2 linked regions of the Oryza sativa Japonica Group genome follow. The protein of the gene in region 2 interacts with the protein of the main gene of each other region in a biochemical or structural test. Links are inferred from orthologs where the notes say so. Each region holds a gene or a part of one and is shown on either strand. Other genes may lie near its edges. The genes, in order: ADP-ribosylation factor 3 and protein GRIP.

What was found.
Region 1: the proteins of protein GRIP (region 2) and ADP-ribosylation factor 3 form a complex in vitro, tested with the Arabidopsis thaliana proteins (2 studies listed by BioGRID). The link is inferred for Oryza sativa Japonica Group from reciprocal best matches to the Arabidopsis thaliana genes ATGRIP and ARF3.

Annotation. Positions count from the first base shown.
Region 1 is NC_089042.1:9,131,173-9,147,418, reverse strand, and holds ADP-ribosylation factor 3, read right to left. Parts: upstream 9,798-16,246; 5' UTR 9,612-9,797; coding exon 9,509-9,611; intron 9,415-9,508; coding exon 9,376-9,414; intron 9,277-9,375; coding exon 9,214-9,276; intron 7,858-9,213; coding exon 7,839-7,857; intron 6,794-7,838; coding exon 6,682-6,793; intron 6,119-6,681; coding exon 6,071-6,118; intron 5,649-6,070; coding exon 5,518-5,648; intron 5,245-5,517; coding exon 5,211-5,244; 3' UTR 4,894-5,210; downstream 1-4,893. Other genes in the region: aspartate carbamoyltransferase, chloroplastic, read left to right, coding at 15,542-15,974. UniProt on the Arabidopsis thaliana protein: GTP-binding protein involved in protein trafficking; may modulate vesicle budding and uncoating within the Golgi apparatus.
Region 2 is NC_089041.1:17,132,636-17,148,422, forward strand, and holds the start of protein GRIP, read left to right. Parts: upstream 1-4,706; 5' UTR 4,707-4,955; coding exon 4,956-5,421; intron 5,422-7,938; exon of another isoform or gene 7,939-7,942; coding exon of another isoform or gene 7,943-7,952; coding exon 7,953-8,068; intron 8,069-8,381; coding exon 8,382-8,551; intron 8,552-8,851; coding exon 8,852-8,945; intron 8,946-9,713; coding exon 9,714-9,800; intron 9,801-9,871; coding exon 9,872-9,952; intron 9,953-10,142; coding exon 10,143-10,268; intron 10,269-10,883; coding exon 10,884-10,992; intron 10,993-11,065; coding exon 11,066-11,145; intron 11,146-11,743; coding exon 11,744-11,872; intron 11,873-11,947; coding exon 11,948-12,048; intron 12,049-12,417; coding exon 12,418-12,551; intron 12,552-12,649; coding exon 12,650-12,747; intron 12,748-12,830; coding exon 12,831-12,950; intron 12,951-14,272; coding exon 14,273-14,300; intron 14,301-14,408; coding exon 14,409-14,461; intron 14,462-14,788; coding exon 14,789-14,860; intron 14,861-14,947; coding exon 14,948-14,995; intron 14,996-15,270; and 4 more. Other genes in the region: uncharacterized protein, read left to right, coding at 1-39, 1,009-1,056, 1,138-2,379. UniProt on the Arabidopsis thaliana protein: Golgi matrix protein playing a role in tethering of vesicles to Golgi membranes and in maintaining the overall structure of the Golgi apparatus.

The sequences.
Region 1 (16,246 bases), on a different chromosome or scaffold from region 2:
GCTTAAGAAAAAGAATGCAGTAATCTAGTGGGTATTTTACTAGAGGTTGCACTTATACGGGTTAATATTTTGTTATTAGACAATTCATTCATTTTTAGAGACACAAGGCAATTATACTATAGCCCTTACATCCAAGTAATCAAACAAATAGAGTTTCAACCAAACCAAATAGTCAATTAATCATCTAAATGGCTAAATGTTCAGATGTGTTACTTAGTTTGGCTGTGGCATAGCTACGGCAGCTGCCATACCATGCCACAAGAGAGGGTCCGCCACCGTCGACAGTCCTGACGAACTGGATAAGTTGTGTGTAGGTCGTTCACATGTCGACAATCCTGAAGAACGGGATACGTCGCACGTAGACCGTTCACACATATGTCACGCACGTGCACCATTCTAGGGGAGTCAAGCGAGGTGCGAGGCGAGTGCATGTTTTTCTCTAGTTCTCTCTACCACACATGTCTAAATTAGCTAAAAGAGATCACTCTCTCTTCTCTTTTGAGAATGTATCTCTTTTAGAATAAGTAAGGTAATAATAAAGGTGGGTTTCTGTGATTTTTTATAAAGTTAATTCTTAACACATTTATTAATTTCAACAATAACTCAAGTTAGGTATTTTATGGTATTATAGATCTCTTATTTTTCACGAATAAGCGATCCGATGGGGCCAATAGACTTGTAGAGTGACAATCAAATCCTCTCCATATGCACATGCGCACGTGAGATTCTCACGATTAGAGTTTACATATAGTGATTTTCTTTTCAATGAGATTTTTTTCTTTTCCATAATTGTAAGGCGTTGTGCCTATGCCAAGGCTAAAATATCACACACGTTTTTTGGTTGCCCAACAAGATTTTCTTCCGGAACCGTGTGCGTTGACCTTGAAATTAGCTGCTCGATCAGTCACATCATCATCGATCGATCTAGTCCTAAATTTCACTGTGCGGCTCACAAAAAAGACGAACAAAAAGATCTCACTAGCTTTAGCTAGCGTGTAATTTAGGCATGTGTGGCAGCAGCAAGTGGAATGGGTGACAGTGTCAAGTGGGGGGGGGGGGGGGAGGGGGCGGTGGTCATTAGTAAAGAGATCACACACAGGAAAGTAGGTGATTGATACTTCGACAGCGATAAATCTTGCCAGTCAGCAATATGATATTACTTAGGACTCTCTTTAGGTCTGTTTGAAATTATACAGGAGACCGTTGATATAAACAATTTCTTATAACAGTCTATATTTCGATCATCGATATTATGGTAACCGAGTGGGTACCAACTTGAACAATTCTTGTTATTTTTTATTTTTATAATAAATAGCCGTTTTATCAAGTAGTTCCTAAATGTGGAGTGTCTCGGTAAAGATGATAATGAACTGAGAGACTATCCACGCATATATAAACCTTACTTATACATACATTCTCTACAATATTTTCTTAAATTTTCGTTGAGGGAGAGATTAATTACTTTGGGATGAAACTGTCACTTAACTTAAAAAGGTCTAACAACGTAAACAGAGAAAATGTAAAGCAAATGATGTATTCAGTCAAAGCTAAAACCTGTTTTAAAAGTTGGATGGTTTTCAAGCTTTCCTTAAAACTTAAGGTTCTGAAATAATTTTTTTCCCCTTGCAGATAAGTGCGTGCAAATCAAGCTCAACTCATCATCAACGGGTTACCTTTTCCGGCACGGTCGGCTGCTCATCCAAGCACTAGAAGGTTTCTTCAATTAGGAGTCGCCCAGGTTTTCTGTTCATTTGGACTTATCATCTTATCCTCTTTTTTTTTTCTTCTCATGGTTCCAGAACCTTCCAGCCACGTAGCCTCCAAACAAACAGGACGACTGCTATCTTTCGGCTTGATGCACAATCACATTCTGAGACACTTTCCATTGTCTTCTAGTAGCACTTGGTAGAAGCTGCTCTCTTGTGGGCCATCACACCAATAGATATTTTTTCTTGAGCTAGTGATTCTTGTCAAGCTGGTGTTCCATCCAATTCAATTGATTATTAATTAGCTCATGACTAGTGTGCATTTGGGAAAAGTTGACAGCCAGTTGATAACCAATCAGTTCAATTCCTGGCATGCTAATCCTTCCCAAGAAAATTGACTAATGCCCGACTAGTGCAGTTGCAATTATAAGCATCTTAAAACACAAAAGGCGATCGACAGTGAAATGTAAGATAACAAAATACGTGGAGTACTTATGGGCGGATCCAACATGGGCGCTGGGACTCGAGTTCTCCCTATCGTGTTGGATCCCCATGAAGAAGGTGAGGAGAAACGGAAAAGATGAGGAAGATGGGGGACTGAAAAAAGGATGAAGAGGATGAGTACCCCCTTCATATAGGATCGATCCTGAATCCACTCCCCTATACTTGTGAACATCACTTGCAGATTATTTATCGGATTAGTTACTTCATGCTATGAAAAATGTATTTTCTTCTTGAAAAAGCATTCTTCTACTGCACTGCAAAAACTGTTGTCTTAAGCTATTTATTAAACTTATTTATGAAAATATTAATTTATCTCTATAATCAAGTAGATAATCAATAGCAACAATCTAATTAATAATCCAAATCAAACATGTCTTAGTATGCATCTGCCAAGTAGTCTAGTGCTAAGTTGCTTGAGTGAAGGCTTCTTGTTATTCTTGACATCTCGGCATGTCTTAGCCGGTCTCGGAAATGTTCATGGTGATCTCTCGAGAAAATTGTGAGATGCAATTTTGTGAAGGTTTTGGGTTATCTTCTGGAGTAGAGAAGAACTACCGCTAAAGGGCGCTCACAGATTTCATGGCCATGAGAGGAAGTAAAACTCTCACTTATAGTGCTCCAAATTAGAGTACTAGTGGAGATTGCCCAATTTTCGATATCTTGGGAAAAAGTCTCAGCATCTTGTTTGCTTTTCCTATCTCAATCTCTTTACCTCTCGCATTTTACTTTCATAGATTGAATTAGAATTGAGTAAAACTTCAACTCAGTTGCAAATTTTGGGTCACAATGGTTGTCAAACATAGGAACTTAGGGTAGATATAATCTTCTGTTATTGAGTTCTAATTTGGCCTTGTACTTAGAAAATCCTATTCACCCCGATCCTATACACAGATAGATTTTTTTTCCTACAGATATTTTTTCCGCAACTAGTGATTCTTGTCAAGCCAGTGTTCCATCCAATTCAATTGGTTATTAACTCATGACTAGTGCGTTTGCAAAAGTTGACAGTCAGTTGATAACCAATCAATCCAATTCCCTGCATGCTAATCCTTCCAAAAAAAATTGACTAGTGTAGTTGCAAGTTGCAACTACAAGTATCTTAAAACACAAAAGATGATCGATGGTGAAATGTAGTGAAATAAGTGGAATACTTGTGAAGAAACTTGTGCAGATTATACAGAAACACTTCTGATGTAGTGGAGTTATGGCTGTCCTGGTACCTATAATTACATAAACGCAGAAACATTTTTCATAGGAATTCAGCCTGATTTACTTAACGACTTTAATATCTTTTAAAGTTGTTAAAATCGTGATCCTAAATCGAAAGGTATAAGTAAGATCACAATCATAAAATCGTGTACGTAAAAATCATAAATTCTACCTACATGGTAAAATCATAGAATCAAACACCTTAATTAGAATCGTAAAATTATATAACAGAATCGATATATTTTAACAACCTTAATCTCCTTCGTGCAATTGAAAAAACAAATCTCCTTCTTTGGGCAAATGTGATTACTGACTCAAGTATTATATGGACACTTGGCCTTGCCTATATCTAACGGAATCGGAACTGTTCGCCGCAAACGCGATGAATTGTCGGCACAACACGTGTCTGATGTTTAAGGGGATATTGTAGCAACCGTGACATTTCTATGGAACAGGATGTCGCCGTAAACAAATTAATTAATTAATCCTCCTAATTCCATGTCCAAGTTGTTAAGGCTGTGTTTAGTTCACACCAAAATTGAAAGTTTAGTTGAAATTAGAACGATATGATGAAAAAGTTAGAAGTTTACGTGTGTAGGAAAATTTTGATATGATAAAAAAGTTAGAAGTTTAAAGAAAAAGTCTATAACTAAACACGGACTAGGCGACAGTGACTATTCGCGACGACGGTTGAACAGTCGTTGCAAGAAAAAACAAACGGCCTGCCCTGGTCCTGGTGTTCAGCACAAGTTATCAGATGACGTCCCTGCTGACGTCAATTCGCAGCTGGCTTTGTGCTGGGCCAGGTCTATCTAGCTCCTTTTGTTTACCAGCAGCAAAGTCGCTACATCAATTATTACTAGACGCTATATTAATTAGTGGTATGACTAATAAGCCGTCGAAAAATAAACAAAACGATAAAAGTAATTCGTAGATAAATATTAATCTGTATATTATTGTTGTTTTAAGAGTCAATGCTAGAAAATAAGCCACGGTGAGAAAAAGAATCCCAAAATCAAATGCAAATATCATGATGTTTTGGACTTATGGTAGTGTTTTCTTAAGAGAAATATACATATAATATCAAAGGAAGATTTTAAAAACATATAACTCAAAAGTAAGGTTTTAAGATGTGCTTATCCAAGAGTAGAGACGTATCATACTTTACTACTTTACCATCCGTACCCTTGTGCTTATGATGTTATTGAGTTATTGTGGTAACTTTCTGCGAATTATGATTTCATAGTTGTATTACATGTCATCAGAATTGCTACCAATTGAACAGTGATCATAAAGATGTATAGATGAGGTCAAGAGTAGATTTAATTTAGTTACAGAGGGTCAAGAATCAAGATCACTTCTTTCATTCATTTCAATATAACATTATTAAGAAATGACTAGTGGATAATGTTCCCAAGCATTCGTATCACCAGAGTAAAAGAATATGTAGAAAACGACATGAAACTCGGCGACAAGGTGGAAATTAGGCGTGTTCAATCATCGGAAAAAAATGTCACAATAGAAGGGATTTACGGGTAAAGCCACCAGTGACCAAGAGTCCTGACAGTTTGCTCGTCATTTTCTACAAATCTATTCTTGATCTCAATATGGAGGTACATCTAAAGTCGTATCCGAAAACTTTAACAAGCACTTTACAGATAATCGATGGTATAAAACTTCTGGAGTTAAAACAAAGAGAATGGGGGTTCTCACGCAGACTTGTGAGGAAAAGGGAGCAGTGTCCCTGTTCTTTACCATCAAGCAATGATCCATGGAACAGAGGCTCCTAAATTAGCTGCTTTTGGATTTCAGTGCATTACTGAGCCTGCAGCAAGAATCAAACCAGGCTTTTGTAAGTTAATTCCATCAGATATTCCCATATGCATTCATCAGGGAGGAATTGCAGAATAATGTGTTGTAAAACAGAACTGGAAAAAATGTAACATGGGAGTTCAGTCTAATCATATTCACAGGAAAACAAACCGTCCAGTACTCACGTCACTACAAGAAACAGGATAGTACAGGATTTTACCAGCATAAACATTTTAGCCATTATTTCATTTGTTCCGTAGAGAAAAGAAAATTTCATGTGACTTACCAGTCCAAACCTTCAAAAAGGCCCTCTCCTTTTATGGCAGATGTTTTGAAAATCGCCCATTGACGGCTCTTAATCTTGTGGAGTTCTAATGATTCCGTTATGGCAGCATCATCAAGTGCACCTGGAAGATCCTGCATTCATTGTAGGCATGACAGCACATGAGACATCATATTGGGCGTCTACATTGTTGCCATAGAATAAAGCATCTCCAACTTATTTGTATAGAAAATGCAAGCAACAAAGAATGACAATTGACAAAAAGACATTCACATTTGAAACCTAATGTCCAAGTAACATAATGGAAAATCATAATAAATAGGCTACGTTTGTTTGGTACAGAGAGCGATATATTTTATTAACCAAAAAAAATGCTTAAATAGTGCAAGTTCAGAACAGCTAGAAGTAACTTTTGTTTAAGGACTTAAGATGCCATGGGCTGTCAAAATCCAAGTGAACCACATGCAGAAAAATGTAGCACCGGAGTACGTTTGAAACCAATTTAAGCACACAAAATTAACAACAGTGTATGAGACCCAGAATGGTTTGGTTTTACCTGTTTATTCGCATATACAAGGACAACTGCACCTTTTAGCTCATCCTCCTGCCAGTTGAAGGCAAGCAGCCAATAAGCAAATGCACCTAAATGAAATCAATTCATGTGTACTGCTATAGCCTTAAAATCATTAGGATATTGGATTTATGTCTACACAAGCGTAACACCATGCTAACGAAATGCTGCTAATATTTCTAACCATAAAAAGAATGAAAATAGCAAACTAGATAGGGATCCTGGCCTCCTGTGGTGCATAAACACTGTTAGTGTTCATGAACAAACGAGCATGAGATATTGATTTATCAAATTTATAACAGACCAGTTGTTGGGATCAAAATTAAACTGCAAAAGGAGGCATAGCCTGTGAATCACAAAGCGCCTGAAATCCCCTGACAAGTAAGCAATCCGTTAAATCCTGACAAAAATACATGGATTTTTTATTACCAATTAATGATTTTAAAGAATGAGCAAGCAGCATGCTTCACTAAACTTGCAGTCATAATCACCCTTTGAGAAATATGTGCAAAATCCCATTTGTTTCTTCCATGTAATGGTTACATATGACACAGTAAATATATATACCGAGTCCCTCAAGCACAGGTGGCCCATACCTCAAGGATAGCATGAAACTCTTCTTTTGCCGTTACAAGCCTATCTGTATCACTTGAATCGACAACATAAATGATAGCCTGGGTATTTGGAAAGTAGCATCTCCAGTATGGCCTAAAAAGGTGAATATGTTAATGGCGTAGAGAAACGTGTCATGCCTAGTCTTTAAAAGGAAGGAAGTCAAATAATCTAAGAGAATCCATGCCTAACAAAGGAAACATACTTGAATACAAAAGAGTAACAGAAAGGAATCAGAAGTAGCAAGACATAAGTGAAGGTTGACTATAAAGTTTAAATATTCTTGTGAATCCTGAACTAAACACGTAAGTATAAGGTAAACAATTACAATTTCATTTCAATGAATGGTCGCATTACGCTCATTTGGACACCTATGTACTCCACTGTGCAGATCTATATATGTTTGTTATGGGAAAGGTCAAGTGCTGTAGTATATGGAATATCATAAGCGATAGTATTTAGAAAGCTGTCTTAGCCCCGGGGTAAATGTGTAGCCCCCATTTCTTGTGGTAAGCATCTATGTCCCTTCTCTATACATATCCGGCTGAAGAACAGGATGACCAAGTAAATTTTATATATATCCAGTTGCCTGCCTCTCAAACGCAAAAACTCCATGGAGAATAATTAGATATTTGAAGCCCAAGGAAAAAAACAAACTAGCCATATTTACACCCAATAAAAGTACTCTTACAAAAGCTTGGATTATTTTTTACAACTATGATATTCCCCAAGATCAAACCATATCAAATTAGGGGTTTGCAGTAAAAGCCTATGTCTATAAAAAACCTTATTGCAGTAAAAATCCTAGCTAGCTAGCAGTGCAAAAAACTAGAGAGGAAATATATTTCCAACTTAACCCTTTGAACCCTAAGAAATTTCTAGCTTTAGGATTTTATCAGAACATTTCAAGTAGTATACATGAGTACTATTATTAGCTTGTAGAAACTTAAGTAAGAAGGTTCAACCAGGTCATTGTATTGCACGCGCAATACTTCCATGATTGAAAAGAAAAGGTAGTCTAAATGTAAGAAGGCAGAATGGGTGATCCTTTTCGAGGATGATAAAAATTAAATGGCTACTATATAAAGGCATGAATGACTTGACAGAAAAAACTTTGATTGTGATGACATAGAGATGGTACCTGATGCTTGTTTGACCACCTGTTGAGAAGAAAGTGGTGTTAAAAAAAAATTGGATATTTTAAAGTGAAGGAACATAAAAATATTAGGCAAACAAAGTTTCACTAGCATAGAGAAGCAGAAACTCATCGCAATTTCAGATGTTTGTTTTAAACTATATAAGCATTAAATCACTACAGCTGTATAATGCATTAAATGTGAGTAAATATGCTTGATATGTGAATAACTGCCCAATTAAGCATGCGTTTCCAAGCATAATATTCTTGCAGATTTCAATTAAATGACATGGAAAATGGAATGCAATGTGTAGCTCCCCAGTGTTCCGGTGATTACAAGGTATTGCTACAGTAAATCGTACATGTAATGTTACACGATGGTGGCAATTAAAAAAATATGTTTCTTTACTAACCACAGGAGACAACTAGCTTTGAAATGGTGCAATCAAACGCTAAGCAAATGAATCCATATTTCGAAAACCAGGCCACACTTTTCCGAGATTGGAATATTAGTCAAAGCTATATGAGTTTCGGAGATCGAAATACTAGTCAAAGCTATGTGAGTTCCATAGTTATCAATGTGCTATAAGCTCTAAGCTCTAACGGTTTGGGGGTACAGTAGAATGGCTATTGTTTTTAATACAAACTTTATTTAGCAGTGATAAAAAAATACTCATGGTTTTACTTGCCCACCATACAAGACTCTTGTTATTTCGCAAATGAACATGCTGACTAAAGTCTGATTTGAGCACGTTCTCCTCATTGTTTTCCACTATTTTTTTTATTTCTTCATTTCTACTTCCGCAGGAATTCTACATCATTATTGTTGCTGTGCAAGAATCCAAGTGTTAGTGTATTACTGCATATGAACTTCCCCTTAGGATTGTGAAATGCTAGTGAACCAAATACTTCTTATACTAAGGCTTGGCGATCAGTGCCAAAGCAGATGAGAGGATAGTATTTTAAGAATAACCACATCAGCCTTCAAACATAGGAAAAAACAGGTCACTGAATTGCTTAAGATGCTCAGAATGGTCATTTTTGAACTCTTTGCAGACAAGCCATGAAAGCCATTAGGCAACAACTCATTTACTTCAACACCACATAGAATAAACAGAACCCCATTTTGATTCAATTCAGGAACTCAGCATACAAGTAAAAAAGGTCACGTTATACTAAAATTCCCTCAAAACCTAGGACAGAATCAGAATTGTAATGGTCAAACCCTAGTCAGCTAGGTCTCAACCATTGGTCCACTCAATCATAAATTGTAGTACCCACAATTGGCCTCATGGATATTGTCGTAAATTGTACTTATAAATTGTCTCGCGGAAAAATCTAAACCAGTCCTCGTGAATCAGAGACTTGGGGGCACACTCACCGAGATCCCAGACTTGGAACTTGATGTTGTTGTACTGCACCGTCTCCACGTTGAACCCAATCGCTGCAGCAACGCAACAACAACAAGCACACACGTCACCAAACCCGCGGAGCAAACCGAATGGAAGAAAAAAAATGAGGGAATCGGGAGCGGGGAACCCACTTGGGATCGTGGAGACGACCTCCCCCATCTGCAGCCGATCTGCGAGGAAAAAAAAACACAAGCACCCAGATCAGATCCGAGGTGGAGACGGCGAGATTACATTCGATGGAGTCGGGGGGCGAGGTGGGCTTACATAGGATGGTGGTCTTGCCGGCATTGTCGAGGCCGAGGACGAGGATGCGGGCCTCGCGGTTGCCGAAGACCGACGAGAAGAGCCGCGTGAAGACGATGCCCATGGCGGCGGCGGCGCGGAGGTCACCCCCGCGCGCGCGGCGGAAGGCGGGGGGCTGGGCTAGGGTTTCGGCGGCGGCGGCGGTGGAGATCTGAGACGGGGAGGAGAGGAGGGGGGAGATCTGGGAGTGAGCTGGCGCGCGCGAGTACCCAAGACGACGAAGACGACTCACCGAATGGGGAAGGTGGATGGATGGATTTTTTGTTTGGAGGGGAAAAGGGGAGAAGCGGTTTGGTTTGGTTTGGTGGATTTAGGAGAGATTCCAATTGCAAAGGTTTTTAGGTGGGTTTGTATGGTTTTTCTATTTCCTAAGAAAAAGATTGCAGCTACAAAAGGTTTTTATGTGGGGTTTGTATGGTTTTTTTATTGGGATTATCTAAAAACTACTGTAAGATTTTTTTATGAAAAACTTTCAAATCTAACTATAATATAATTGTAATGTAATTCCACTACAACTATGTATATAAATATTAAAATAATATATATAACTTTATATCTAACTTATATAGAGATTACAGTACAGTACATTGTAACTATATTGTAGTTACACTATAACTATACTATAACTACATTTGAAAGTTTTTTGCAAAAATAACTTGTGACGGTTTTTTAACAATTCCATCCTCTATTTTACCTAAGAAAAAGACATGGTTTCTCTGGGTTGGTTTTAAGTTCAGGTTAGTTGAAGATCAAAATGTAAATGGAAAATTTTAGGATATGGAATAAATACTCCATCCATTGTAGAATACTAGTAATCATGCATATACTAGGCACATTTTCTTTCATGCTCACTGAATTGAGAAACGTTGCAAGGACACGTTTATACTCGCTTAATTCAGGTAGTATATGCCAAGCAAGTTAAAACAGAAATCTGGATTTTACAAGTATATGTCTTTCAAATCCAAATTCAAATAGTTTCTATTCATCATTGTATAATATTCAGGTTCCGTTTGGCACAGCTCTAGCTCCTAACTCCAACTTCCCTAGAGCTGGAGTTGTGCCACACGGTACAAATTCTTCATTTTTTTAGCGGAGTTTGCAGAGTTACTCCCCAAAATTGTACTACGGGGTAGAACTGGGTTTTTCTACTTCACAGCTCCATTTCGTCCCTAATGACCCACTACCCTTTAATTTTTTCATGTATTTATGCGATATGCCACTGAACTACCCCTTCACACCCCCTCTCCTCCCTTTCTCTCTCATCCACATCTTCCTCCCTTGACGGCGGCGGCAGGCGTCGGTGGGGGCGGGTGGCGTGGCGCATGAGAGCAGCAAGGCCACAAGCGATGGCAGCGGCGGCAAGAGGCGCGTGGGTGGCGGCGCAGGGTCAGCATCGGCAAGGCGACACGCGTGCGGTGGCACGTGGGTGGAGCGGCGACTACGGCAGGACAATGCCAACAAGGGACGTGGTGACACAATCTAGCCAAACACTTTCATACCCACCTCAGCTCATATAGGAACCAGTTCTCACTGAAGTTGAAGGTTAGAGTTGAGAGTTGGAGTTTGGAACCCTACCAAACGAGGCAAGAGGAATTTTGTTACAATAATTGATTCACCAAAAAACCATGCTTTTTTTGTTGGCCAACAACATGGTGGGGTACCCAGCAGGTATAAGTAAAATGGCATGTAATTATGTTGAGATTGAGCAGAGGAACAATCAGTGTACATAGATAAAATACAAACTTTAGATGATTTACAAATAGTCAATAAAAGGAAAATGATAGGGAAATGTGCTTCAACAATATGGCATCCTCCATTTGAGTCATTTGCCTTGACTAATGTCATCCTTCAAACCTGTGGTCAGTCGTATCGCCATGCTAATTAGGTTTGCCTCCTATTGAAAAGAAGGAAAACTATAGTACATGCCTAACAACTCAAAGGGGCAAATACGTCTTTTTTACTTTATAGTTAACGGTCAACACACAATCAATAGGCGGAGTCAATAGACGGGAGTGGCATGAGAGGGTGCACAAATTTGGACCGATGGCATGTAGGGGAAGAACCGATTTTCACTGGCATATAAAGGATCAGACAATTCTTAGTGGCATATAAGGGATTATCTCTACATGTTAATATCCAACCATATCCCAAAACCTCCATCTATTTGTTGGTCATGCCTTACCATCAAGGCACTATACTGTTAGCTGAATTTATCAGCTTTGAACTTTTTGCGTTTATTAGCCAATTTCAAATTTCTTTTTTTCTTTTTCTAATGACATTTCGTATATTCGTCAGTCTGATATTCAATGCTACTTGATTTGCGATGCATGTATGCAGCAGTTAGTAATGTCCTGATGAAGCTCGACGCCTATTCAAGAAACCTAATGTTAATTTCCATGTTCCTGTGCGGCAACTGCAATGGACTAAACATGATAAAGCGGTACACCTACAGATCGGACCTTGCTTACTTGCCATTAAACCACATCCATCCATCGTGAATGTATCCAATTGATTCTGGCCGTTTTCCAGAGACTTATTTTGCTCCTGCTAAAAGAAAATGGTTTAAGTGAACATCGGGTGACCAATGTATGAGTATTTTTTTGGTTGTAATGTTCAGTTCAACCATTATTTTCTAGTTTTTTTCTCAAACATACAGGAGGAGAGCTGTGTATTTTCTTTATAGTAAAGAGAGAAGAGAATAAAACTCTTCTCATGTTTTGATTTTTGTTGTGTAGGCCATACAGATGATCAAATCTAGCATGTGCATCTTTAATGGAGTGCTTGTGCAGATATTTTACTTGTCGAAATTGATCCTATTGTACTAACTTTTGACCTCATTGTCGAAATTGATCCTATTTACTAACTTTTGACCTCATGTGACCAGAATGACCGTTGACAAAATGTCATCTCACCCACCATGCTTATATAGTTATATTTATGGTTTAGCCTTATCTGTAGTCATCAAATATTCAAATATATAGTCAGTATATAAATAGATGCATGCCAAGTAACATTTGGTCTAGTGCTGTAATATGTGTTATTGAAATAACAAGTTTATGGCCTTCTACGGCATGTTTTCCCCGTCAAGACTGATAATGTATTTCATGTTAAATCATATATGTTGAACTGCACTATAGTTTAATACTTTGTTTTCTATATCAGTGCTTAAGCTCACGATTCCTATTGTCATACAAATGCAGAAAGCCTCGGAGAAAGATACAGAGACAGCTTCGAAAAAGGAAACTAAGAAATAAGTCTAAAGGTGTCATGTGCATTTTAACGGTTTGCCAACAGTAATTCCATTAGCATTAGAACTTGTATTCCTTCTCTTTTCCTAATCTTCTACCCAACAAATTAAAATCAAACATACTTATATTTCAATTAAAAAGAGGCACTAAATTAGTTTCATTACATCTAACATTGAATATATTTTGATAGTTTTTTGTGTTAAAAATATTATTATATTTTTCTATGAATCTAGTCAAACGTAAAGAAGTTTGACTTAAAATCAATATGACTTATAATATAAAATATACCCTCTTTGTCCCCACAAATAAATTAAACCTTAGGTTGCCAATTGGAATTAAGGAAGAAGATAATGAGCCAAAATGTCTCTAATTAATAGAAAAGTTACATTGGTGGTGAATAGGTAGTTGAGGGGTATTGATGGAATAAAATTTTTTGATTTGCGGACCGATGGTAGAAAAGTTACATTGGTGGTGAATAGGTAGTTGAGGGGTATTGATGGAATAAAATTTTTTGATTTGCGGACCGATGGTAGATAAGAAGGTAACTGTTGATTTATTTTAGGACAAATTCAAATTAAGTTGATTTATTTTTGGACGGATGGAGTAGTAGTAATTTTGTAGTTATTGATTATGTTGGTTTTTTAACGTAGTTTATCTTACAACATTTGCTTTTGAATCACTAAGGATATGTCTATAAAAGTTTTACTTATAAATTAATTTTAATCAGTAATAAACGGTTCGGAAAATGAAGGTAATTTTCGGTGATCATTAGTATTTTGACACATTTGTAACCAAAATTAATAAGATCTTAACCATTTTCACTATCAAACTAATATGTTATTTTTTTTGTTTCTTTACCATTCAATATCTTATTATATATTTAGAAGTTAAATTATTTAATGGATATCACAAAAAGCTCAATACTTAACTATCTAATGAATAAAGGAATTTTTTTAATTGTGTGCTAGTTATTGTCTCTCATTGTAGCTCATCGTGGTACTTAGTATGGCTTGCCCTAAGTGACGCACCACAATCCATTTATAAGACTATTTTTAGAGTTGTTCTTTTTGCCAAATGGCATATAATCTAACCGATGCAACCAAATATCTTCTTGTGTGCATAAAAAAGATATAACAAATAACATAATTAGGTATATGGAATTCCTGAGTCAACAAATAGATTGTTTGAAAGTGCATCTAGACCCCCTAGCTAAATTTTGGCTAATTAATGACAAATGAATAATGTAATAATGTCTTTAATGAGTGATACGGAGGCATTAAGTCCTTTGAAGTGGAAAAGTGAGCCAAAACAACACTCAAAGCAAATGAGTTGAAGCGAAAGTTAATTGGGCAAAGTTTGGAAGATAGAAGATCAATTTGCCCCAAAGTTATAATGGATTGGACAATCATGTGCGGTATAGGAAAATTCGGGTCTAACATGGACCGGACAATCTAGGTGGAGTCGGAAAAATCTAGTGAAGATGATCACGAGAAACTAAGTGAACTAGATTGTTTGGGAACTTTCGGATAATCATGGTCGAACAGTCCGATGCGGTACCGGACTATCTAACACGCTCTGGACGTGGCTAGATGATTGTTCATCAGATGTTGAAGAAGCAGTGGAGTAGACAATATGGTACTATACCGGAGTGTTTGGGAGAAGCAATGTTGAACAATCCTACAGCTATCGGATCGTCCACCTCTTTATGGCCCAATGGCTTGTAGTTCAATGAATGTTGGAAAAGCATAAAGTGTTGGACAATCTGGATCCTATACAAATTTTGGCAGACTCTATCAACGGTAATAAACAACTAGTTGAAGGAGTTGGGGCTATAAATGGGTGGTGCTATGGACTCATTTAGAGACTTTTGGACCCCTCTTCACCCTTAGAAAGCCAAACAAGTGTCCAAACGGCTAGGAGTCAACCTCGAGACACCGATTTGTTCGTGGTGTGCTGAGGGAGTATGTGAAGGTCAGATCTCACCTCTAAAAGGGAAGAGATACCCTTAGTGGAAGGAGTGTATTTGTGCAATCTCACAAGGATAGGGTTGGAAAAGACCCGACGGAGAGTAGAATCCCCTCAAGGATTTGAACTTTAGGAACACATTATCTCATAAGAATCCCGATGATATCTCTCTCACTCATCTAGTTTTGCTATTTGGTGTTGCTAATAGTTTAGTTGCTATTTGTGCAATTCTTTCCCTAATTATGCCGAACCCCTTTTTGCTTGACTTGCTAGTTTGCTTGTAAATATGAGTTTTTCTAAAATATCCAAAAATATTTTAGAAATATCTGAAAATACTAGGAAGTATCCAAAACGTTCAGCTTCCGCATTTTCTTAAAAGTTTTAGATGCCTGTTCACCCCCTCTGTAACATCAAGGTCGTTTCCTCAGGACACAAAACTAGAGTATTCTCTTCGAGCCAGCATCAATTTCAGACTACGACAATTTTCTTGCTAACCATTTGCAATATTCCCTACTAAGAAAAATATTCCCCATCACCTTCACTGGTCACTGTTTCTATCACAAGAAAAAGAACAAGAAAAGAAAAAAAAACACAAGAATATACTACTAAAACAAGTCTAGGGAGGTCCAACAACCAAGTCCAAACCGATCAAACATCCGACGAAAAAACACACGAAAATCCAAAATTAACAATAGAAAAAATCCTCCTCCTTAAACCCCCTTAAACCCTAGCTCCCGCCGCTCCGCACAGTAAGCTCACTTCTCCTCCTCCTCCCCCATCCATGGCGGCCGCCCGCGCCACCCTCCCGCTCCCGCGTGTCCCCGCCCCCTCGCCGAGGCCCCAGCTCAGGCCCTTCCCCTCCCTCCCCGCTCGCCGCGGCGCGGTGGCATGCGGCGCCGGCTCGGCGGCGGCGGGGGTCGCGGCGTCGCTGCGGCTCGGGGACGTGATCGAGGCGCAGCAGTTCGACCGGGACGCGCTGACGGAGATCTTCGAGGTGGCGCGGGAGATGGAGGCCCTGGAGCGCGGGTCCTCCTCCCGCGGCGCCGGGAGGAGCCGCGTCCTCGAGGGGTACCTCATGGCCACGCTCTTCTATGAGCCGTCCACGCGCACGCGCCTCTCCTTCGAGGCCGCCATGCGGCGGCTCGGCGGGGAGGTGCTCACCACCGAGAACGCCCGCGAGTTCTCCTCCGCCGCCAAGGGCGAGACCCTGGAAGGTGAGTTCCTGGGTTCAGTGCGTTGAGTGATGTAGTGACTGAACCTTTGGTTGGAGCGGCAAATTTCGAAGTATTGGGATGAAATTGGAGTGGTTTTGTGAGTTGTCGATAGTGAACAGGTGAGGAAATGCTCATTCTGTGCCTTCTGGGTACATGTTGGTTTTGCATTGTCGGAATTGGTAGATCTTGATTTGTCTCTCGTTGTGCAAATGGCCGCGAAACGGAGTTGAAAATTATGGGAGAGTTTGAAATGGTTTTGGATCAACTGTGGT
Region 2 (15,787 bases):
TTTACACCCAAGGAAGGGCAGGGGTATAGTGAAGATGAGGTATGTATCACATTCTTCACGAACCCAGCTCATGATGTTTGTTCTTGAACGTTAAATTTCCGCAATCATATAGTGCATTTATGCCACAGAAAAGCGATTGAATGAAATGAAGTTAAAGGGAGGTAGCAAAGGTAGATAAATATAAATAAACCTTAAGATTGACACATACTTTTTATCATCTGTAGCACGAGAATGATTTTGTCAGAAGGTAGTCATCACTCATCTGTAGCATGAGAATGATTATGTCACAAGGTAATCATCTGTAGGAAAGAATATAACGTGAACTATCCTGTTTATACTGAATAGCTCCAGCACACCGTATGGGAAATTATGTCGATAGTCCAAAAAGGTGGAAGATCTTTGATGCCACACCTTAATGTTTGCTATTATTAATAGTACCTGTCAAAATAACCAAACAAATAGTAGTAAGTACTAAAGGCTGCACTTCTAATAGATGAGGCTAATGTCCAATTGTTTAAAATACCATGGCATAGAGGTAGACAGTTGAAATTTCATTACACTTGGCGTGCTAGCATTTTCATGAACTATAGGAGAATGGTTTTTATTTGTTTTTGCGAAACAGCCTCACATGGAAATGAAAAGAAAGAAAAAGAAAATGAAGAAATACACCCCCCTGAAACAACCCCTTTTCGCTTATGTGTGATTTACTGAATTCTCATTGTTTATCTAATCATGTTAGATTGTAATGCTATAGCTAGTGCAATTTCAGGAATTAATCTATGCAAATCCAGTATAGCTTAGCTGTCCTTTATGCAGGACAATCTGCAGAATGTAAAGAATAAATATTTGGAACTACTTGTGTGATGTGGATGTGTATTGATTGTCTCTCTGGTTAATACTTACAGAGTTCAACCTCATTTTGGAACTAGGCAGCTTGGCCTGGCAGTTGAACCATCTATTTTACAATAATTTGCCTTCCAATTAAGGACTAAAGGTCTGTTTTTTCAGGATCACTTGGCTTTGATGATGGAAATCCTTGGGAAGATACCAAAAAAGGTATACATATCTTTTTGCTGGTCAAACTTTTTTTGTTAGGACCGTGGATCTGACCAGTGTAATCTTTTGCAATGAGCTCAGATTGCTACCATGGGAACAAAATCAAAGGAGTATTTTGACCGTCATGGAGATCTGAAGCGGATAAGAAGATTGAAGTTCTCATCTATTGAACGTGTCCTAGTTGACAAATACAAAATTTCTGAATCCGATGCACGGGAATTTGCCGAGTTTCTTTGCCCTTTGTTTGATTTTGCCCCAGAGAAGCGTCCAACAGCTGCACAGTGCCTACAACACAAATGGCTTCAATATAGTGATGGCAAGAACTATGGGACTCTCAACATTAGTGATGTCAAAAATGCTAGTGTTACATGCAGCCCTGGAACGACTGCCAGCAGTGATTCTAAGAGCATTGATGTAACACGCAACATTGGAGACAAGCCTGACAGTTATGCCGAGAGAGCTGATGCAAAGTGCAATACTAGCAAAAAAAGCATCATCAACAGTAATTCTGAGAATTCTAATGTACAACCCAATACTGCAAGTGTTGGCAATAGAAATTCCAAAATTGATGATGTAAATTCTAATACTGGGAGCATCACTAACAAGGATTCCAAAAACACTGTTATAAAGCCCAGTATTGGAAGCTTCGTGAACAGAAATGCTGAAACAGTTGATGTAAAACCCAACATTGGCAGCATAACCAGCAGAGGTGACAGTAGTAGTGACACCAAGAGCAACATTGGAAGCGTTGCCAGTAAAGATGCCAAAACTATTGATGCAAAACCCAGCACCAGCAGCATCACCAGCCAGGATAGTAAGATTGGTGACGGAAGGAGCAACATTGATGGCATTGCCAACAGAGATGCCAAGACCGCTGATGTGAAGCATAACATTCGAAGCGTTGTTAACACTTATTTGAGGAATTTTGATGTGAAGCACAACACTGGAAACATTGTTGATGGTGGTGTCAAGCACTCAGATTTGAAACCAGGCACTGTAAGTGCTGCCAATGTCGATTCCAAGAGTATAAGTGCAAAGCCCAGCACTGGAAGTTTTGAGAACAGTGATGCCAAGAGTATTAGTGCAAAGACCAGCACTGGAAGTTTTGACAACAGTGATGCCAGAAATATTATGAAGGCAAACACTGGAATTGTTGCTAACAATGATATCAAGGATACTGATGTACAGACTAATACCGAAAGTGTTACCAGCGGCGACGACCTAAACGACATTGATAGAAAGCCAAACATTGGACGTGTTGCTGCAAGTATACAGAGGCTGGAGAGCAGCATAGGCAAAGTGCAAAGTGGAAAATATCGGTGAGAAAAATAATCCATGCTAGTGCTGATCCAGTTACCTATTTTGATCGGCTTGGATCTGTTTTCTTTTTGTGGAGAGGCATATTCAATTTCATTAGATTTGTGTCATTGATTTGATTGCTGAGGTTAATAACTACCCTTTGTGATGGAGCCAATCTTCAAGATTTGAGGATTTGGCAAAAGCACCAGCTGATGCTTTTTACATATCTTATATGTTCCTGCTAACTGTAAAAAAGTTTTGTATTTGCACACAGAATACACATGGAGGTACATATTTCTTATTTACCTTTGTTAATGTTCACAGATTTTATTGACATTCAAGGTACATAAACATTCTTTTGGGCTTGATCAGATTGTCTTGTACGAATGGTTTTAGTTCTGTCGAGTGAAACATGGAAGAGAACCATTTAACTCAAACATCCTTCATTAAAATGATTGCTTTCCTTGTGTTAATCTCATTGGATTTCTCCCATAAAAGTTTATAATGAGGTTCAACGTTATACTCAAGATGTGCCTTTATCTACCGCTTGTAACCGCTAGGTTTTCTGGAGTTATTTATTTTTGATAAGGTTTGGGAGGAGGTTTTGATTATGCATATAAGCATGGAGTTGGTCAGTTTGATTGATGGTAAGCAGGGGCAGATCCAGGAACAAAAAAAAATTGGGGAGGCTCGATTACACAGTTTCTTCAACCTCTAACCATTTAGAGACATTTAATTTATCATTCATGGTGAAAAATCGAAGGGGGTGCTCCGGGGTATCCATGGGTCTTGTGGGTGTAGGGAGGACTCAAGTGCCCCCTGCACCCACGTTGGATCCGCCCCTGATGGTAAGTGCTAAAGAGGCCTCATGGGAATTCCTGACCGACCAATGTTTATTTCTGATTTGTACTGGCGGAAGTGATCAGACATTAATAGGTACTTTAGATCTCACATTCTTGTTTGATCATATTTCATAATCCATGTATTACTGTCTGTAATTTCTGAATTCCGAATGTCTCCACAACCCCGTGGACCATGATGCCTTAGCTCGACCTCAGCTCAGGAATTTATGTTCCATACGATTCATTTTCTCATAATAAATGAGAAAAAAAAAGAACTCGTAGCATCTTGAATCGACCTTTTAACTTGTGTATAATAATCTGTATGTTTTTCTTTAGTATACTGTGCAATTTTTCGAAGATATTGTTATTTGTGTAAGAAGATAATGTTGGTTGGAATGATTCTGAATAAAATAGTGGTCACGGAAAATAGTAGCAGTGTAAAATTTATTGTGTGCCTGTTAATTTAAGGCTTTTATCCCTGTTCTCCGCAAGGGGTATAAGGACCCGATTTTGAGACCTGTTTGATTCTTTTCAATTTTTTTTAAAAGAATGAATTTTTCCCCTTAACTCGAATCCACTGCACCGACTGATAAATTTCCATGGATATTATGTGGCGGTAAAACATCTTCATAAATCGATCAAATATTGACTATGGCAATTCTGTCTCCGATCTTTCAAGGTCGCTCAACACAACAGCTTGGGTAGAAAAATTCTCAAAAAAAAAAAAAAAACAGCTTGGATAGAAAAAAAAAACTTGCACATAGGTTAGATATCCCAATCGAGCATGGGCTCGGGAGTGGCACTGCTGGATCTAGCACAAGCTCCATGGATAAGAGAGAGCGTGGCTAGCCCAAAGAAGATAAATGAGTATGGAGTTGTGCGTCGGTGAGTTGGCACTGTCCAAAGAAACTTTGTAATGCAAACTGAACTCCTTTCGATCAAGAAATGATAACCTACTCCTTCCGTATTTTAATGTATGACGCCATTAACTTTCTGACCAACGTTTGACCATTTATTTTATTCAATTTTTGTGTACAAATATAAAAATATTTATGCCATGTTTAAAGAACATTTGATGACGAATCAAGCCACAATAAAATAAATAATAATTATATATTTTTTTTAATAAGACGAATGGTCAAACGTTGGACAAAAAGTCAACGACGTCATACATTAAAATATGGAGGTAGTAGTAAATAAATGTGACACATTCTAATACAATAAATTTAATAATTCTAATATAAAGTTATTTTTTATTTAACAAAGTGAGCGGTGAAGAGTAGAGGACGACGACTGTAGTAGCCATCGAACGAGGTCAACCGTTTCCACCAATTTTACCCGCAAGTTTTAAAAGCAAAACTGACCTCGGGATTCACCCGGATCCCCCCTCGATCCGACGCTTGGCTTGTACTGTACTACTACTGTACTCCTCTGTTCCACTGCCATGTGGTCCCCGGTCCCACCCGTCAGCCACAGCCTTCCTTACCCGAAAGCGAGAATCGCTTCCTTGTCCGCCTGTGCTGCTGTGTGTCGTCCCCCCTCCTTCCCTTCCTCGCCCGCCCACCGACGGCCGACGGCCGACGGCGAACCCGCTCCTCCGCCTCCGCCGCTGCCTGAGCCAGCCAGCCATTGGAGTGGAGGATCCGGCCTCTGCTCCCCTCGCAAACCCCCGCCACTCCTCACCCGCACCCGATCCGATCCAACCCCGCATCCCCCGATCCCTCCCACGGGACCAAGATTCGGATCCGCCTCGCCGTGATGGATCCCGACGAGAACCCCACGCCGCCGCCGCCATACCAGGAAGCGGAGGCTGCGGTGCCGGTCGACGAGCAGCCTCCGCCCCCCGTAGAGGAAGAGCAGGCGGAGGCGGCACGCCAGGAGTCAGCTGCGCCGGTTGAACAAGATGCGGCGGCGGCAGAGGGAGGAGGAGGCGATCGCGCCGCGGGCGGGGAGCGGAGCCGCGAGGAGCTGGAGCGGGTGGTGATGGAGCTCGGCTTCCAGAACGACTACCTCAAGTCCCAGATCGCGGCCGCCGAGGGTGGGAGTGGGGCGGCGGAGTCGGAGCTCGTGAAGGGGTTGAAGGAGCAGGTGGAGAGGCTGAGGAAGGAGGTGGAGGAGCACAAGCAGACGCAGAAGGCCACCGAGGCCGCCCTCGAGCACGTCAATGTCGCCTACGCCGAGGCGGACGCCAAGGTCCAGGACCTCACCGCCAAGCTCACCCAAGGTTAGTTTCTACTGTCCCTGAGCCTCTTCACCGCGCCGGAAGTTGTCAGCCGCCGAGATTGGAATGGCGGGCATGCACCACTGTAACATCTCACTGCACTCGAGCTCAAGTAATTGGCTAACAATTTTTTTCTCGCTTCTATTTAGCTACTTGGTAGTTAAAATTCTGTATGGCAGGTAATTTGGATAATCTAATTTACTAATATTTGATAGTCTAATTGGTATGAAACTTGTTTGTTGGCCCATTTGGTCAGTTAACCTGTACCCTCCAAAATATGACTAGGGTGATGTTGCAAACATGCACAATACAAGTACCGAACTGCCGATACGGATCACGCCGGCTGGGACTGTTGATTTTATAAAATAGCACTGAATATGGGAGGGAATCAATAGACAATTGGTGATCGCCAGGTGTTTCATACCAACCGATGCTAGTAACTGTATTCAGCACAAAAATAGGAATGAAGATGCAAAACTTTTATGTTGGAATACATCATTACTGTTACATTGAGGAAACAACTCTCCTGGTGAAATCCATGTGGATGAGAAGAGGGAAAAGAAAGACAGAGGAGTGGGGGTTAGCAGTTATTACCTGTAGATTTCTTTTGAGTCAATTGTAAGGTGGGTGCAACTCGGTACAAAATCTTGCAAATTGAGCAAGCCTGTTAACAAGTTGCATGGCGCGTGCGAACCAAAACCAAAATAGCTCATGTGGCTAATCAGATAATTTTTATGTTGGCTAATAAATCATTTTCATGCTGATTACGTCTCCATGTACGCTAGCAGGTAGTAATCGAGATCTCGGATTTTAGCAATAAACTGTTCCCTGCATAATGCTGCCTCTTTCAAACTGATTTTTAAGCAGACCTCTCTTTAAACTCTTTTGTGGCACAAACAACCAACATGTGCATGCTTTATGGTGACATTAAAATCACACACCATATTGAAGTTGCTTAATCACAAACGGGTTCAACTCGTTTGGTCCCGAGGAATTATCGATCAGAATAAAGAGTGAGAATTGATTTATCTAGGTAGGGGGATAATGACTGATCATACATGGTGGTGCAAGGGTGAGAATTCGTCCTAGCCAAAGAGAGGTTAATGAATTTGTCTCACAAAGAGCAGATGAATCTTATAGCTAGGCATGTACGCACCACTCAAATTTTGCATACCTCAAATGATGATCCAAAACTTAAATACTAAAATTTCACATAAATTACACATGTAACTTTGTTTTTTTTTTGGCTTCAAGCTAGCCATTAAAGGGCAAAATCATCCATGCTTGCTGATGGGACAGCCCAATGAGTGCAAAAATGATCTGTGTAACCACTGTGCACCATTTTGGTCTTGGTCCACATGCACCATGGAAGTTGTTACACTATTTGTTTGTTCTGCAAGTTGTTGCACTAAGTTGCACCCACCTCACAGGTTTATGTACCCACCTCACAGGTTTATGTACTGTGAGTGTAATTTACTCATTTCTTTTTATATGGAGACATTTGATAGGTGATCTGAACCAATTTCTATCAGACTTACAGCTTAGAGCTTCTATGACTGCATAAAAAAAGCATACTCTCTGCTTTGATGTACCATTTCGTTCTCCCTCTATGATTCCAGTCCTCCCCACTAGTGGCATTGTCAGATCAAGCAACTTAAGCCTGAGGATGAATGAATATTTGTTCGACCTATCTAAAGTGTCAGACTCAGCATTTGATCGCATGGAGAGCAGACATGTACAAATATTCCGACACACCATGCTGAAGTTTCCTGTATAATATCGAACTGAGTCCAATAATTTTTGTAAAACACAGTTTCTTAACTGTTTTTTGCTCAGTTGTTTGATAACCCAATATTTTCTGATTTGTCCTTTCCAGGCAGTAATAAGTATATGGGGTCTTTATAGTTATTGGCAGTGACACAAAGTGTTTGGGTCTCGCTTCATAACCTTCATTTTGGATATTTTAAAGATATCAATATTATTATTTTTGGATGATTGTGCTCATTATAATGATTACAATGACATCGATGAATCTTTGTTAAGCCATTCAGTTAACAAGTTTTGGAAAATGGTAGTAATGAAAGGGAACTGAATGTTTCCAAGTAAATCACATGCTGACATTTATGTGTGTAAGAAAAGAGGGACTACCCTTGGAAAAAGGGTAAAGTTCACCAAGTCCTCAGAACTTGCACTATTTGCAAGTCAGAATCCATGAAAAAACTACCATTTTCTAGTTCTTTTTTTATGCTGGCACCCCATCTAGATCTGCAGATTCTTAGTGGTATTGTACAGATTACTGTAATTGCAGATAGGATCACAGGCTTACGTGTGATTCCTCAATAGGAAAAACTAGTGCAAACCATTTATCACCATCATTTCTGAAAAAAAAGCTCTAAAGTTGCTGCAGTTTAGTTTGATCAGGATACACCTTATATTATGATGCAAACTGTTCTCCTTTTGCTGCTCTGCTATGTACAACTGTACATTTGCTTTTCTATTTAGAATCTAAATCATCATTAGTTCCATGTATGTAGCTCAGCAGAAAATGGATAAAGAACTAAAAGAAAGAGATGAAAAATATGTTGAGCTGGATACCAAGTTCCAGAGGCTTCACAAGCGTGCTAAACAACGCATACAGGATATACAGAAGGTGACCAACTTGAGCTCTCCTTGTACATTAATTTTGGTGTGGGATTAGTTGATCGATCACTTAGCAGTCTTGATTTTCTTTCATTAGTGTGGAAGTCAATGAAGAATTTTGGGTTCTTACTATTCTATTCAACAAGCGATATGATGTAACTGTGTAAATGACTTGTTCCTACCTCTTGCCTGTAGAATGGTACAAATCATTATATGCTGTACACCAACATTTTACATTTCAATGCAATCCAAATATAAATCCTTTGAAGTCAGTGACAGTTGATTTTAATATCTATCCTGACACACTTGTGTGATCTTTGCAGGAAAAAGATGACATGGAAGCTCGCTTTAATGAAATTAACCAGAAGGCTGAGCAGGCTTCTTCTCTGCAGTCAGCAGCACAACAGGAACTGGAACGTGCTCGTCAGCAGGCTAGTGAGGCTTTACGGTCAATGGATGCTGAAAGGCAGCAATTGCGAACGGTGAACAGCAAGTGAGTTACTGTAGTAATCACACTGTACAGTTCACTCACTATATTTTAACATGCTGCTATAAAGTTTATATTCTCTTTTCTATTCAAGATGGTTGGTACAAGTGATCCATCATGGCAACATGAATGCTGAGATGTGTTGGATTGCCTACTCCAGTTGGTCCTTTGTAGTTATAGTCTGATGTTTATATGTTGAGCACTTGTATAGGCAACTTGTGATGAAGTTTATGACCTATTTTTCTGCAATAGACATGTTAATGATATACAATTTATTCTTACTAGTGGACACAAATCATTGTGTAGGTTAAGAACTAATCTTGATGAGGCACGTGTTGCCTTGGAGGCCAGGAATAATGTCCTTGAGAAGTTGCGACAATCGATGTTTGAAAAAGAACAGGTATGTAAATGCAGGTCTTAGAGTGTTTTTATGAACTGCGATATTTTGTTTGAGAGGTATGAACTGCAGCATTGCTGGGCACAGTCTTAAACTGGAAATAAAAAACAAGAGGAAATTTCACCTAACCCCACCTATTATGGTCTAAATTGCACAAAACCACAGGGGTTTTGGCACGTGACAAATAGCCCCAGGTATTATGGTTATAAAGTTTCACAAAACCATATTATTGATCATTTTGACTTTGATCTACCACACTTTTAAGTTCTACAATCACATCTCAAATTATAGGTTCTTTATCCATCATATAAATGTTACATCCATATAAGTAAAGTTTTTTTAAAATAATTTTTGATATAGGAGTATGTTAAATTGGTTAACGGTGTGGTTTTGTGAAACTTTAGTACCATAATACCTGGGGTTATGCGCCATGTGCCAAAATCTCCATGGTTTTGTTCAACTTGGACCACAATAGTTGGGGTTTTATGAAATTTAACAAATTGTATGGACATGATAATACAAAAAAGAGAAATAGGGGTTAAAGTTGTCATATTTCAAATGCTGTAAACTGTATTAGGATGTTATCTAAATTTGAGATCATATTTGTCACATCGCTCAAAAGTCATGTTGATAGTCATGATAATAGCTAACCATTGTTTGTTTCTATTAGCTAAAATAATGTGGAAAACACATAGCTATAAATCTAAAACCTTTTCTAGTTATATAGTATAGCAATTATAACTTAAATAGACTGATCCAATGTTTGTAAAGTTGTTAGAGCAAACCCAAGCATCACTTCAATCTGCAGAAGAAAAGAGAAATGCATCAATTGCGGAGCTTACTGCTAAGCATCAGAAGGTAAAGAAAACAAATGCAGAAAAACAGTTTTCCGCACATTAATTATGTTAACTTGGCCTTTTTTCCCCTAGCAATTAGAAAGCTTGGAGGCACAGCTAACTGAGGTTTCTGCGGAGAGGACAAAAGCATCTGAAACGATCCAATCTCTTCAGGTGTGATTTGCGGCGGAAGTTTTCTTGCATATTTTTTTGATTATCACATGCCCTGTTCTGTTTGTGTCCTTGCTTGCTGTTGTGCTTTTGACTTAAGCTTTATTGTTAAAAAAGTCCATTAGCTGAAGAAGATTAATCTCATTATGACGGGAATCAGTAATGAGTTAAATGAAACATCAAACTTTTCCAGATGTTGCTTGTGGAGAAAGATTCAGAAATAGCTGAAATTGAAGCAGCTTCTACTGGGGAAGCTGCTCGAATTAGAGCTGCCATGGAGGAGCTTAAAGGCGAGCTTGCTCATCTGAAGGACCAACATGTAAGATAATTTATTTGTACAGATTCATGCTATTCGGTTAGAATGTTGAACCATGTGATAGATGCCAAAGTGATTTACATATTCAATATTTATAGTTATTGTGGTGGTTAGTATCTATGGTTACCTGATGGGTTGGATGAATGCGTAACATGTTTATATTTAGTGCATCATTACAAATGAGCAATTTTAAAATGTTTTTTTCCCTTTGACTAGCTGGATGGCATTCTTAATTATTTAAAACGAAATAATCCATATATCTCAAATAGATCTAACATGTTACACACCTGCTTGTTCTGTCCATGCAACCATGTTTCCTATTATGATATGTTGATTCAGCCTTTGACGTGTTGATTGACTTGCGTATAATTACATATTTGCATTTCATTCTGTTGATTTGGGAAGTGACTGATTTCTATAGAACTAATAATTGACATTGGCTCTTTTATTATCATCACCAGTCCATCACTTGAATATTTTGGATTTGTAGTTGAAACTTTCCTTTAAACAGCCTCTACTTCTGTTTCCCTCCTTTTTGGCACTTACTGTTGTTTGGTCACCATGTTTTATGAAGTCCTTGAGACTAAATAGATTGGTTCCAACTCGATATTTACTCAGGAAAAAGAAAGGCAAAATTGGGAAACTACTTGTGAATCGCTTAGGACAAAATTGGAAGCATCAGAAAGTGCATGCCATATATCTGTGATAGAATCTACTAAAGTTAAAAGTAAGTTTGCTTTCCAGACATTCTATTTTGACTTCAGAGATATCGCACTCATACAAATATTGGACTATTGCAGGTCAACTGGAGTTGGAGTTATCAAAGCAAAACCAATTACTACAAACCAAAGACTCTGATCTATTGGCTGCAAAAGACGAGGTATAAACTTAATGTGATTGTGAAGCCTAATTGTACATAAAACCATGTTTCAAATTATATGTCAAAGACTCATAATTCGAAGTTCATGTCAAAACTCAATTTATCCTCAATGCCATTTTGACTTAGAAGGATTGAGTATCTTTTTTTTTTGACTTCATTCTTGTAGTATATTATATGAGCTAATAGGCTGGCAGAATCCTCTCTCTGTCTCTGTCTGTCTCTTTCTCTAAGAAAAGGCTGGCATAATTTATTCTAGGCCTGAGTAGCAATTTTTATAAGGTGACCAAGCTACCAGTTATTGCCACTATTGAGTGAAATTGCTTTGTCATAATAGTGGCAATGTTATTGTGTACATGCACATCTTTGTTATTTGAAATGCTTTTACTCGAGGAGTTTATACTGTTAGTTTGTGTGCTGGCGAGAATACAGTGGCAGCACTATACAATTAACTGAGAATTCCTTTGAAATCTTTTAATATATGCCACTGTATTAGGAGGTGCCCTAACAGCTGATTCGACAGCATGTATAGTCGAATTGTTGAAATGCATGTCGACATGCTTTCGGTTGCAACTCCAATTTAGCCTTTTGAACTTTGCAGATTAGTCGGCTGGAAAGCGAGTTTTCTGCATATAAGGTCCGCGCACATGCACTTCTGCAAAAGAAGGATGCTGAGCTGAACACAGCTAAAAACTCAGATTTGATTAAAGCACATGAAGAAGCAATAAGGGTATTACATTATATTTTAAGATATATACTATAACCAGAGATTTGAACTGGCTTGATTGATTTTGCTTTGCTCCAGGAAGCTGAAAAGGAAATTTCAGCTGCCTTGGCAGAAAGAGATAAAGCCATCCATGACCTTCAAATTGCTCAATCCAAATATGGTGAAGAGATTGAAGCAAGGTAAAATTGGTTTCACATTGTAGCCAGATATTGTTGTGTGTTCTTTTGATCTGTTCATGACATGGAGCTCCAAAATTAAAATGATGTTCTACACTTGTAGATTGTAAAATATGCTATGAACACTGTAGGAAGGTCTTTAAATATACTTCCTGGTACTTGTAGCCATATATTCGTAACTTGTCATTTAGACACGAACTGGTTGCAATAGCCTGGTAGCAATATGCAATGTAGCAATATTGCCATGTTATTATATTTGTACCCTGGTGGTTGCTATTAACATTATATTCCTGTAAGCTGATTAGCTGATGCACTATATTACTATAAATCTTTTTCTTGCAAGTTTCATTTTGTACTTTATTTTCTTCTCAGGGATTTGGCTCTCGCTGATTCTGACAAAAAGTTAAAGAATGTCATGGCAAAATTGGATTCTCTTACTTCTAAATTCCTTTCCGAAAAAGAATCATGGGAGAAAAACGTGGCAAGTGTAGAGGAAAGCTGGAGATGTAAGATGTCCATGATTTACTTAGAATCCCCCCCTCCCTCTCTCTCTCACAAAAAGGTGTGGTATCTGATGGTAAAATTTGTCAATCGGATGATGCAGTGAAATGTGAGTCTGTGAAGGCTGAGAGCAATGGGCATGCTGGAGATGAACTTAAGAAGAATTTAGTGGAGTTGACAGTAAAACATGAGAAACTAAAGGTTCCCCTGTGACATGGGTCATTTTTATCTCCATACCAGTCTAATGTCTGACACAGTATTTTAATATATGATTGCCTTCTTAGGAAGAGCATGATTCTTTCCGTGATATTGCTGATAGAATGCTTGAAGAGAAGGACCGGGAGGTGGCTAAGCTCCTCAGGGAAAACAAGGATCTACATAACTCTTTAGAGGCTAAAGCGGCAGTAAGTCATTTTCTGATTACTATCTTGGTTTCCTGTATGGAAGTAATAAAACACATTGATTGCTGTTCACTGATTAAATGCCAGCTGTGTCTTTTGTGAGATATTTATATTTATTCATCTCGCTTATATATTTTAAAATTCATATCTAATCACTAACAAGTAATGGCTCGTAACATGCCATTTGTGAAGCCGATACCAATATTACAAGGAAATTCCATTGATATCCTCCAATCCAATCTTCTACCATATATAAATTAACATATGTTCTTTTGATGCCATGACCATCTCCTGACATTCTCTGGGAACACATTATGTGCACAGTACAGTTTCCACTCTGCATCAGTTCTGTCAAACAAATGTCTAAATCCTACTCTATTCCTTTTTAATTTTTTGGTTGTAGTTTGGGGTAGATTTGGTGAGTGAAGAGATCAGTAGCAAAAAAGGCCGCAAAAATGAGTTTTTGTGAAAAGAGAAAGTCAGCAGTAAATTTTGTGCAAGTGTGCAACTTCTGTGTTATTTTCGCCACTAACAATTATAGTCACCCCTTCTTTCTGTGGTACCATGTCCTGCCACTCGCTACAATATGCAATGTCCTGTGTCCAGTCACTTGAAGCTTCTGCTGGCTGTTTCCTCACATAGTCACATCCTAGAGAGCATACTACAACTCGCAACTGCTGCATGCTGTCAATGAATGCATTTGCAATCATCACATGCATGTTTCTTTTTGTCTGTACTGCATGAATGTGTAAGTAAATGATGACTGAATAGGAGGAACATTTTATTTTTCTGGTGTATCCTTTTGTGACTAATAACAACTACAGGCTATGTGAGGAAATAAGTAATATTTTACTCTTTCCTGGGGATATATCATTTGGAGTGGTACAGCTATGCAGCTAGAAGTAGTCGAGTATCTGAAAACCCATGGCATGCAAGTAACTAGCAATTTGAATGATGACCAAAATACCCAGAATATACATTCACCATGGTGTTGGAGAATTGTTTCTTTGACACTTTACATTTTCATACTCCCTCCCTCCCATAGCATAAGGCGCACACACATTTTAAGATTCAACTTTTAAAACATTTTATTTTATTTGCTAAAAATAATATCATCGGATTGACGTTGAATTTACTTTCGTATGGTTATAATCTTGTTGCTAAAAATCTTATAGTATATGAGAAACTATAAGTCAAAGATTAGTTTTGGAGATCGTGTCGAGTTTGACCGTGCCTTATATTATGGGATAGAGGCAGTAAATGATAAATAGTAAGCAAAATTTGGTTTTGAGATTTCGTTAATAAGATTATTTCACTTGTCACAGGTTAGCATCAATGGTAATCAAAATCCAGGTAAATGGTTGTCAGTTTCTTTTGCATTTTGTTATCTTTCCTATCCTATATTCTTCCCTCAGTTTAATGGTTACTTTGGAATTTGTTGACATGTACTTGTTTTTGCAGGACCTGCTAAACAGGATGCAATGGACATTGAACTGGCTGAGCAGCAAATTCTGGTAATATTGAGTTTGAAACAATGTTGGGCATGCCTTTAAATGTTAAGACAAATTCATGGATATTGTAATCATCATTCCAGTCATTGGTAAATTGGTTGCATGAATTGAATTAAAGTTCTACTGTACTTTGCACTCTTCGTAGCATCACTTGCCTACTTGCCACTTAATTTTGCCAAGGTTATGTTGCGATTTATTATAATGAATCATAATTTCCAATTAGCCAATTAAACCAGAATATTTTCGACCTATCAATATTGTTGAAGTAAATAAAAATGGATGGGGGCTTCTCAAGATTCTCAATTTAAAATGTGATATCCACATTTTCAGCTCCTTGCACGGCAACAGGCACAAAGAGAAGAGGAATTGGCTCAATCACAGAGGCATATATTAGCACTTCAAGTCAGTTTTGAGCTTAGCAATCATTCTTTTGTTTGTTCATTCTGTTATTAAAGTACTAATGATATTCCATTTCTTTCCTTTCTGTAGCAAGAAATTGAGGAGCTTGAGCGTGAGAACCGCCTTCATGATCAACAGGTTCGAGTTTCTTGCACCTATCTGTAGTTTCATATCCAAGATTAATGGTTAAATGTCCTTATTTATTTGAGTAATACAAAAATGTCTTGTGAATTTTCTACTCAAGGAATACTTAGCTTAAATTATGCAAAAAAGTGTACCAAAGTCTTTAATTAGGTTTTTGTGGTCAATGAATGCTAACCAGGATTAAAATTTGCAAGATGTGCACAAAATATCTTCATTTGAAGAAATGGAGCATAGATTATGCATTTTTAAGTAATAAATTTCTGTTTCAGGAAGCAATGTTGAAGACTGAGCTCCGCAATATGGAGAGATCACAAAAACGAGAAGGAATAGATATGACATATCTAAAAAATGTTATCCTAAAGCTTCTGGAAACAGGTTAATGACACTATTGTCTTTGACTACAGTAAGTTGACTGTTGATCTAAAACATTATTTGGTTTATGCTATCACAGGGGAAGTGGGAGCATTGCTGCCTGTGGTTGCAACATTACTGCAATTTAGCCCCGAAGAGGTAAATGCTCACTTGCTCAGTATAAAACTGATTTCCATTGTAGATGATTGCATTCTTTCTTAGCATCTGATTGGTTATTTTTAAATGGTGAAACACTTTCTCTAAACTATCTTAAAACCTCAGCTTTGTACAATGACATGTTGAACCATGTTAGCTAACAATGGTAGAAAGGGAAAATTAGGACGGTAATATTGGAAAACTTGAAACTCGAGAAACATAAACACCAAAGAAACATAAAAAAAGCTAAACGATATGGAAAGCGACACTCCAAGGATA